Linked DNA regions of Ovis aries. The protein of the gene in region 1 interacts with the protein of each later gene in a biochemical or structural test. Links are inferred from orthologs where the notes say so. Each region holds a gene or a part of one and is shown on either strand. Other genes may lie near its edges.

Region 1 (3,480 bases):
GTGCGTAGGTAGCAGGGAAGGCGTCAGCGCTGGACCTGGCGCCTGTAGACCTGAACCAGTTCCCGATCCCGGAGTCCGTTCGGGTCCTGGTCCACCCAGCAGGCTCGGGCTGAGTGGAAGCTCCAGGTCCCGGGGCTTCCGGCCCTTCTGAGGCTGGGCAATCTCCGCGCTGGGTGTTGTAGAAGCCGTGAGGCCGCCCACCTGCGCCGCAGTTTCCATTACGACAGCGGACAGCCGGGCTGGCACGCCCTCTGCTGGAGGGACTTCTGGGTCGACTTTGGGCTCAAAGGGCTCGGCCTTGACGGCTTCCAGCACAAACCCCGCCTCCCCACTGGCTGCAGCTTCTAACTCTTCCTTGGGCTCTTCCACTTTGACTTCTGGGGGCAGTGGCCGGCCCAACCCAGGCTCCATGTTTGGCTCTTCGGATTTAAGGTTTGGGGCCTCGGGTGGGGTCAGGATGACCTGGGAGAGGAACGAGTGCAGAAGGGATGCCTAAGGATTCCTGGGGTAGTGAAGCCAGTTATTTCCCATGGAAAGTGGGACCTGAGAATAGGGGCAGGTCCTTTAACAAGATGTGGTACTTTGCCAAGAAAATGGGGCTTCTGGTCCTCTTATCTGGGTTGCCTTCAGGGGTGGGACTCCAGGAAATACTGCCCCCATGTATAAAAGCAGTGGTTCTCAAAAATTTGCTTTATGGACCAGCAGCATACACCTCATCTGGAAATTTGTTAAAAATGTAGACTCTTGGGCCCATCCTCAGACTCACATAAAGAAAAACTCTCGGGGTGTCCCTCAGCACGTCTGTCTTTAAAAGCCCTCTAAGTGCTTTCTGATGAGTGCTAAAAGTGTGAGAGCCAGTGCATTAAGCAAATACATTCAAGGGCACCTACTACATATTGGGTGTACTGCTAATTGTAGTGCACTCAATTTCCTTCTTCCTTCCCAGGGTTTTGAATAGTTTTCCTCCCCATCTCTTTCTCCAAGGGGACTTCTGTGTCTCTCCTTCCATTATATCATCTTTAACAGGACATTATGTCCCTCCTCTTCCCAGTCCCTCTCTTCATTTGGGAACTGTACATCCCTCCTCTTGCTGAAATTCCATATTCCAGTCCTTACCTGCAGAGGCAGGCCAGCCTCCTCAGCTTCCAGGCAGGCCTCCAAGGGGTTTGGACTGGTGCTCCTGCTCCCCGAGGGAGGCACTGCTACTCCTGCAGGGCCGGTGTTGGGGAGCACTGTGGAAGGTCGAGGGTGAGAGGGCGGTTGTGGCTGCAGGGACTGGATGGTGAAGGTGGAATAGAGGCCTGAGCGCATGTAATCATTTCGGCTGCTGCGCGCCAAGCCACCTGGGCCTGCCATTCCTGCACCCTTGAGTGTGCCTGGCTTCCCAGAGGCAGTGTCCCCGGGGATGGCGTGTACAGCTGTGGCGCCTGCATTTGCCAGAGTGGAGGTGACAGACACCTCAGGCTGAGGCGGGCAGTCCTCAGTGGAGCACCCTGCGACCTCAGGGTAGGACACAAACTTGTAGACAAACTTCTGGCCGCTCACTTTGCGGATGATATTCTGGTAAGGGGGAAGAGACAGGATAGAGTGTCTTAGAAGAAAGGGCTAGAGAGAGTGGACGGTGAGGAGTGTCTCCTGGTGTTTTTTTCCCTTCATGCCTCTCCTGTCCTTTTACATATACACTGTCCTTGCTCAGTGTCTGTGTCCCCATAGGGTCCTCTTCCCAGCTTCTTTCACATCTCACTCACCTCTTCATCTGAGGCCTCCTCCCTTCTCCCCTACTTTCTACTACTCTTCCCCAACCCGATTTCCCTGTCTTCTCCTCCAGCTTCTTCCCCTTCTCTGTCTCCCCACTGCATAATCTTTCCTTTAGTCTACTGCCCTTCTCCCTGCCACACCTCAGTCCCATCCATCCCCGTCCAAGTCTCCCTCTGTCATACTCTCATCTTCTGTTAGGTTCCCCCACCCTACCTTAGATACACATGGCCACACCCACTGGCTCCTCTCCACACTGGGACCCAACTAGGGAAGCAGATCTAGGAACAGGCTTTCCTCTTGGCTCCTGGAACCAGGGGTGTCTGTGGGCTAACAGGGCCGGGCCCTGGGGGTGGCTGCCAGGACACAGTTTTGGAGTCTAGCTAATGCAGTAAGACAGGGAAATGAAGTCACTGATATAAATGTTGGAAGAGACTAAATGAATATGGAAGAATATGGTGATGAATTGTTAATAAATATGAATTATTAGAGGATGATTTAAAGCTCTTGACACAGCTGTGAAACAGGGCAAAGTCATCAGGGTGGAGAGGATGAGGAGCCTTATTCTTAATACCACTGGAGAGGTTTAAGCTGAAACAATTGGAAAATGAAGTGACTGATAGCAACTAACAAGAATTTAAAATACTGGTAAAAATACTGTGGGAATCTTAAGGCTGGCTTGGGTGGGTCACAGAGCACGTTTGGGGTATTTCAGGATAGCCCTGGAGGATCTCAGGGATGTTCTAGTGGTTTCAGTGCATAGAGTGAGGCAGACTCATTATGAATAGTGTTCTGGAGGTTTGAGCTAAAGGATTAAAATATAAAAATATAAAAAATATAAATATATTTTAAAAAATGAAATAAATGCTGTAAGCGAGTTAACGGTGGGCAACAGCACCGGTCTAGGGCTGTTCTGAGGGACAAGAGGCATCTGGGGGGCATTAGGGCACCCTGAAGACATCTTCATGTTGGCCACGAATGTCACAGGGTGGGTTTGTGTTTCTCAGAAAAGGAATGAAAAGGGAGACTCATTAATATTGTCTGAGAAGTTTCAGTGTGGGGTGAGAGGAAAGGGAATTGGATGAAGGCAGTCAAAAGGCACAAACTTCCAGTTATAAGAAAAGTAAGTACTAGGGATATAATGTACAACATGATAAATGATTCACACTGCTGTATGTTATATATGAAAGTTAAGAGTGTAAAGAATTTTTTTCCTTTTTATTTTGTATCTGTATGAGCTGGTGGATGTTTATTTAACTTATTGTGATAATTATTTCTTGATGTATACAAGTCAACTCTTTATGCTGTACACCTTAAACTTATACAGTAATGTGTGTCAATCATACTGCAGTAAAACTGGAAGAAGAAAAACATTGTTTTGGAAGTTTCAGGTAAAGAAATAAGAAAATGAAATAACTGGTATAAATGTGAGGGGGGATATCTAGCACTGGTTTGGCAGTCTGAGAGGAAAAGATAAGCAAAATTTATAATTTTAGCTACAGGAATAAGATGATAAAATAAAACAACTGATATAAATATTGGAGAGGACTGGTGTTGCTCTGGGAATACAAGAGGATGGGGTGTGGAGCGGGCATTATACACGTTGTTTTGGAGGTCTTAGCTAACGAAATCAAATATGAAAAGAATTGATAAAAATGTTGAGGGCCTTGGAGGATGAGATAAGCAAAGGTTAGGATAATGCTATCATGGAGACTTTGATTCTAA
Region 2 (4,384 bases), on another chromosome or scaffold:
AGAAAGACCCCTTCTTCCCCTCTCTGCTGGCCAGGTCCCTCCCCTTCCTTCCCCTCAGACAGGAGACCCAAACACACCTTGGTCTCCCCACTGCTGTCGGACTCCGACACCTGGTAGGTGAGGTCTGTCTCTTCAAAGCCGGTGGCACTCATTCTCTGGTCTGTGGTGGGGTCTGAGCGGGGTGGAGAGTCTGGCGAGTTGAGGCAGGTCTGAATCAGTGCCTTGCCAGTCTCACTGGTGATCATGGGCTGCAGTTTGCGGGTGGCAAAGGTATACACATGGCCTGTCTCACTGGCCACCAGCAACAGCACCTGTGTCCCTGTCAGCGTGGACAGCTCATAGGCCTGGGGGTAGGGGGGAGGAGATGGGTAGAACAGCAAAATGTTTAATCGCTACCTTCCTTGGCTAGCAGGAAAGAGGGAAGTACACAGTGATCTCAAGCTCCCACTTCCATAATGACCTTCCTCTCCAGTGACTCTAAGGGGGTCCTGTCTGAAGGATATCTGAAGGTTAGCTGAAGAGTAGAAAAACCCCATGCCCCTCCTTTGAGGAACAGCCCCACTGACCAGCAGATACCCCAAGCAAAGTCACAGCTCCCAGTGACAGAGCATATAACCTCAGCAGACACAGAGTGGCCCAGGGAGCTGCTCCTCACTACAGCTTGGTGCCAGAGCCTCACGAAGAGATGGCTCCCACCACCTCATCACCATCACAGGGACCAGGATGAAGTCACTACTACACTGAGTGTCACATAGATGTCAGGGATAAGGAGCCACCTAAACTCCAAATGTCCCATATTTCTTTCCAGAAACTGCACAGGCACTAACCTGTTGCCATTTTGTCCTGCTCTATAGAACTCTGCTCCCCCTTTTCACTTTCTTTGTCTTGATGAAACAGTGTCTGGAGTGATGGGAGATGGCAGCTAGATTAGCAACTACTACGCTACCATAATACCGACTCGATGGACATGAGTTTGAGCAAGCTCCGGGAGTTGGTGATGGGACAGGGAAGCCTGGTGTGCTTCAGTCCATGGGGTCACAAAGAGTCAGACATTAACTGAGCGATTGAATTGACCCTGCCATAAAGCCAGGAAGGGGCCTTCAAGGATGGCCCCATAGGTGGCATCCTCACTCCCAATAAAGTTCCACAACCCACTGGAAGCAGCCTTGGTTTCTATATGGGATGGATATAAACACCGGCCAATGTTTCCAGAGTTCAAGCTTCTTGTTTCCCAGTTACTCTGCTTCCATTCCTTCCCATATCTCCTATAGGCCAAAGATGACTCCTTTCCTCATTCTTTTCACTGGATAATCAGCTAGAAGAGGAGGCATTGCTAGGTACCTCTGCAAACCTTCTCTCCAAACTCCGTGCACCGATTTTTCCCTAGGGCTGGAAATCCCACTTATCCCAAGGGCAAATGGTTCTGAGGCCTGTCCTGCAGGGAGTGTGCCGGCTTCCAGTAGATGCATGAAGACCCATGGCCATCGCAGGACTTGGTTTCTGATGCTCAGGGTAGCATCCGTTTTCCTGCCCTGCTCCCTTAACTGGGGCTCTTGAGCCCCATTCGGTCATCAGCCCTGCCCGTCCTTCCAACCAACATCACTCTAGCGATGCCCACCTTCCTCCCACACATGTTCGCTCATTGTTGTTACACAGATCTAGCCTCCTCGCCCCCACACCTTCTTATCTGTTCCCTGCTTTTCCGGCGCCTTTCCCGGAACACCAGAGAGCACTGGACCTACTGACCCCCCGGCCTCATTCAGCACCTCCCCGGGAGCCCTGCAGCCTCCCATCACCACTCTTCACTCCTCGGCTCTGCAAGGGCCGAGTTCCTCTCACGCGCCCGTCACTCCCACCTCGGCGCCTTTCCTCTTTTCCGGACAGTCGCGGCATCTCCCCTCTCCCCACATTTCCCTGGCGGCCCCTCCCCTTTCACCCTCCCGGGGCAACAGTCAACCCCTCCCACACACCTCCTGCGGACTCGCCGCCTCTCACCTCCGCCTCAGCTCTGCCTTCCTCCCGGGCTCCCCTTGCGCGTCCCCACCCTCCTGGGCTCCCGCTGGCCGGCCAGCCTCCCAGCCCGGTACCTTCTTCATGATGCCCGTCTTCCTCTTGCTGAAGGTCGTGTAGCGCCGCAGCTTGTTGTCGATGAACTCCATCTTGATCTTCACGCGGCCCCGAGTCTTCTTACCCGGCTTGGCCCCGCTCACCGCTCCGCTCACCGGCCCGTAGCCCCCCGTGGCCGCCGCCGCCGCCTCGGGCCCACCGACCACCACACCGAGCTCCATCTCGCTCAGGCTCCGCTTCAGGCCGCGCCGCTCGGCGCCCAGCTCCTCCTCTTCGCCCGACTCCGAGTCACCCTCGCTGCCGCTGTAGAGGGCCCCCGCGGTGGGCGCCGGGGTGGTTGTCGCTGCTGCTGCAGCCTCCCGCTCAAGGCGGCCCGGCCCAAGCCCCGCGCCGTTCCCGGGGACCCGGCCCCCGTTAGCCCCTCGAGTCCCGCCGCCTCCACCGCCCGGCCGCCCCGTCGGCGTCCGGTTCAGGCTGCCCCCCAGGGCTGAGCCCCGGCCCAGCGCCGCCGCGGCCCCAGCTTGGCTCGGTAACATGGCGCTCAATGCAGGAGGGCGGACGGGCAGTCAGCGAGGAATCGGAGCCGCCGCCGCCGCCGCCATCGGCTTCCCGGCTCAACCCGGTGCTCCCGCTGCTGCTAATATCGCTATCGCTGCCGCCGCTACCGCTGCGAACCCGGGGCCCCTGCACGCCCGGGCCGACCTGGGCCCTCACTTTCCTGCCCCTGTGGCCCGGGTTGCCCCAGGCCGCGCGGAGCGCCCCCTGTCCGTACGCTAGGGCGGCGCGCCCGGCGGCCGTCAGCGTCCCCCGGGGGGCAGGGGCTGCCGGCCGCGGCCGAGACGGCGGGTGGAGGGGGCCGGGACCACGCGCTGGCGGCGAGGGATCCCCCGACCCTTCCCCCCATATAAAGAGATACAATGTTTCCTTTTATGGCGAGGCCGCTCCTTATATGGTGAGCCCCTGCACCCCCGCCCCATTGGTCCGCGGTTCCGGCACCTCCGCTCCCCATTGGCCCACAGGGGGCGCTTATTTGCATAGACATACCGAACTCGCTGCTGTCATCCCGCGTCAGACGGCGACTCCAAAAGGGGAGGAGCCGACGCCTCTTAAAGGAACAGGAGAGGAGGTACGACTCCGCCCCCCTGGCCAGAGAATGGTAGAGAGAGTTGGGAGGAACCTGCAGAAAGCCTGGAAGAGCACTGGAGCGCAGTCTTGCGGAGGATAGGAAGCCGCACTGGGAACTCGGCGCTGCAAGGGCTGGAAGCCAACTCTGGAATAGTCCCTGAGTGGATTGTGCGGATTGCAGTAAATTATATGCAGCCCAAATTCCCAGGGAGTACAGGGATTAGAGCACTTCCCCAAGCCTTCCTGAGGGAGTCAACGTTACTGGCCGAGCAGAGGGGGCTTGGGTCCCCGCTGTCCAGACTTGTTGCGCCGCGCGGCCTCTCGGCTCCACCAATTCCCCTCCCCCCAACCACTTCCTTTCCCTTTCCCTCTCTTTTCAAGGCGACGACACTTTCCCACCAGGACGGCTCCCTTGTCCTCATTCATCATTCTCTATACTGGTTGCGGGGGGCGGGGATCTTTGGCATACGTACATCTGGAAAAGACCCGGGGAGACAGTCGGCCTCCCGGTCGCCAATGGGGGCAGGGAGGAGAGATGAAGATCTGTGAAGACTTCCAGCTGCGGCTGGACTGGGGGAGGGGGTGGTCCCAGGGATAAAGCCCACCCCCAGTCAGTGCAGAGGCCTGGGAAAAAGTGTAGCAGAGCAGAAAGTTTAAGCAAGCAAGTGCACACACGCGCGCCACACACACACACTCACTCCCACCCTTCTCTTAAAAACCAAGTAAAGCCCATAGAAGGGGCGGGGGGCCAGTTCGACTGGAGTGGTGCAAAACCCAGGTTTACAGTCTGGGTCTGGTTCTTAGCTACAAGGCAGTGAAAGTAGCTTGAACTTCACTATTACAGAAATTATTAAAATCTGGAAGCTGCCTCTTCCTAGCCCTGCGCCTGGAAACAAGTGTTTGACCTCTCCAAACTCCACATGACTTCACTGTTGGTACTCATCCCTTGAAGTTCTTAATAAAGATTAGGTGAGATACAGATTAAAGTGCAGTGGTGGTCCAAGTGGTGAGGTAATCACCTTATGTTTAAGGGGATGGGAGAGAGTGATGATTCCCACTTTAAATTACTGTAAAGATTAAATAAAGTAGTCGGTGGTGAATCCAGTGGTAGTGATAGGTATATTTAGTATACTGCAATTTAGTATACTGCAACATGTAAATTATTATTAATTTAATGGGTCTCACAAAAAAA

What was found.
Region 2: the proteins of ELK1 (region 1) and SRF form a complex in vitro, tested with the Homo sapiens proteins (2 studies listed by BioGRID). The link is inferred for Ovis aries from reciprocal best matches to the Homo sapiens genes ELK1 and SRF.

The regions. Positions count from the first base shown.
Region 1 is NC_056080.1:57,187,885-57,191,364, reverse strand, and holds part of ELK1 (ETS domain-containing protein Elk-1), read right to left. Parts: intron 1,561-3,480; coding exon 1,117-1,560; intron 463-1,116; coding exon 1-462. UniProt on the Homo sapiens protein: Transcription factor that binds to purine-rich DNA sequences. Forms a ternary complex with SRF and the ETS and SRF motifs of the serum response element (SRE) on the promoter region of immediate early genes such as FOS and IER2.
Region 2 is NC_056073.1:16,768,108-16,772,491, reverse strand, and holds the start of SRF (serum response factor), read right to left. Parts: upstream 2,991-4,384; 5' UTR 2,604-2,990; coding exon 2,088-2,603; intron 345-2,087; coding exon 78-344; intron 1-77. UniProt on the Homo sapiens protein: SRF is a transcription factor that binds to the serum response element (SRE), a short sequence of dyad symmetry located 300 bp to the 5' of the site of transcription initiation of some genes (such as FOS).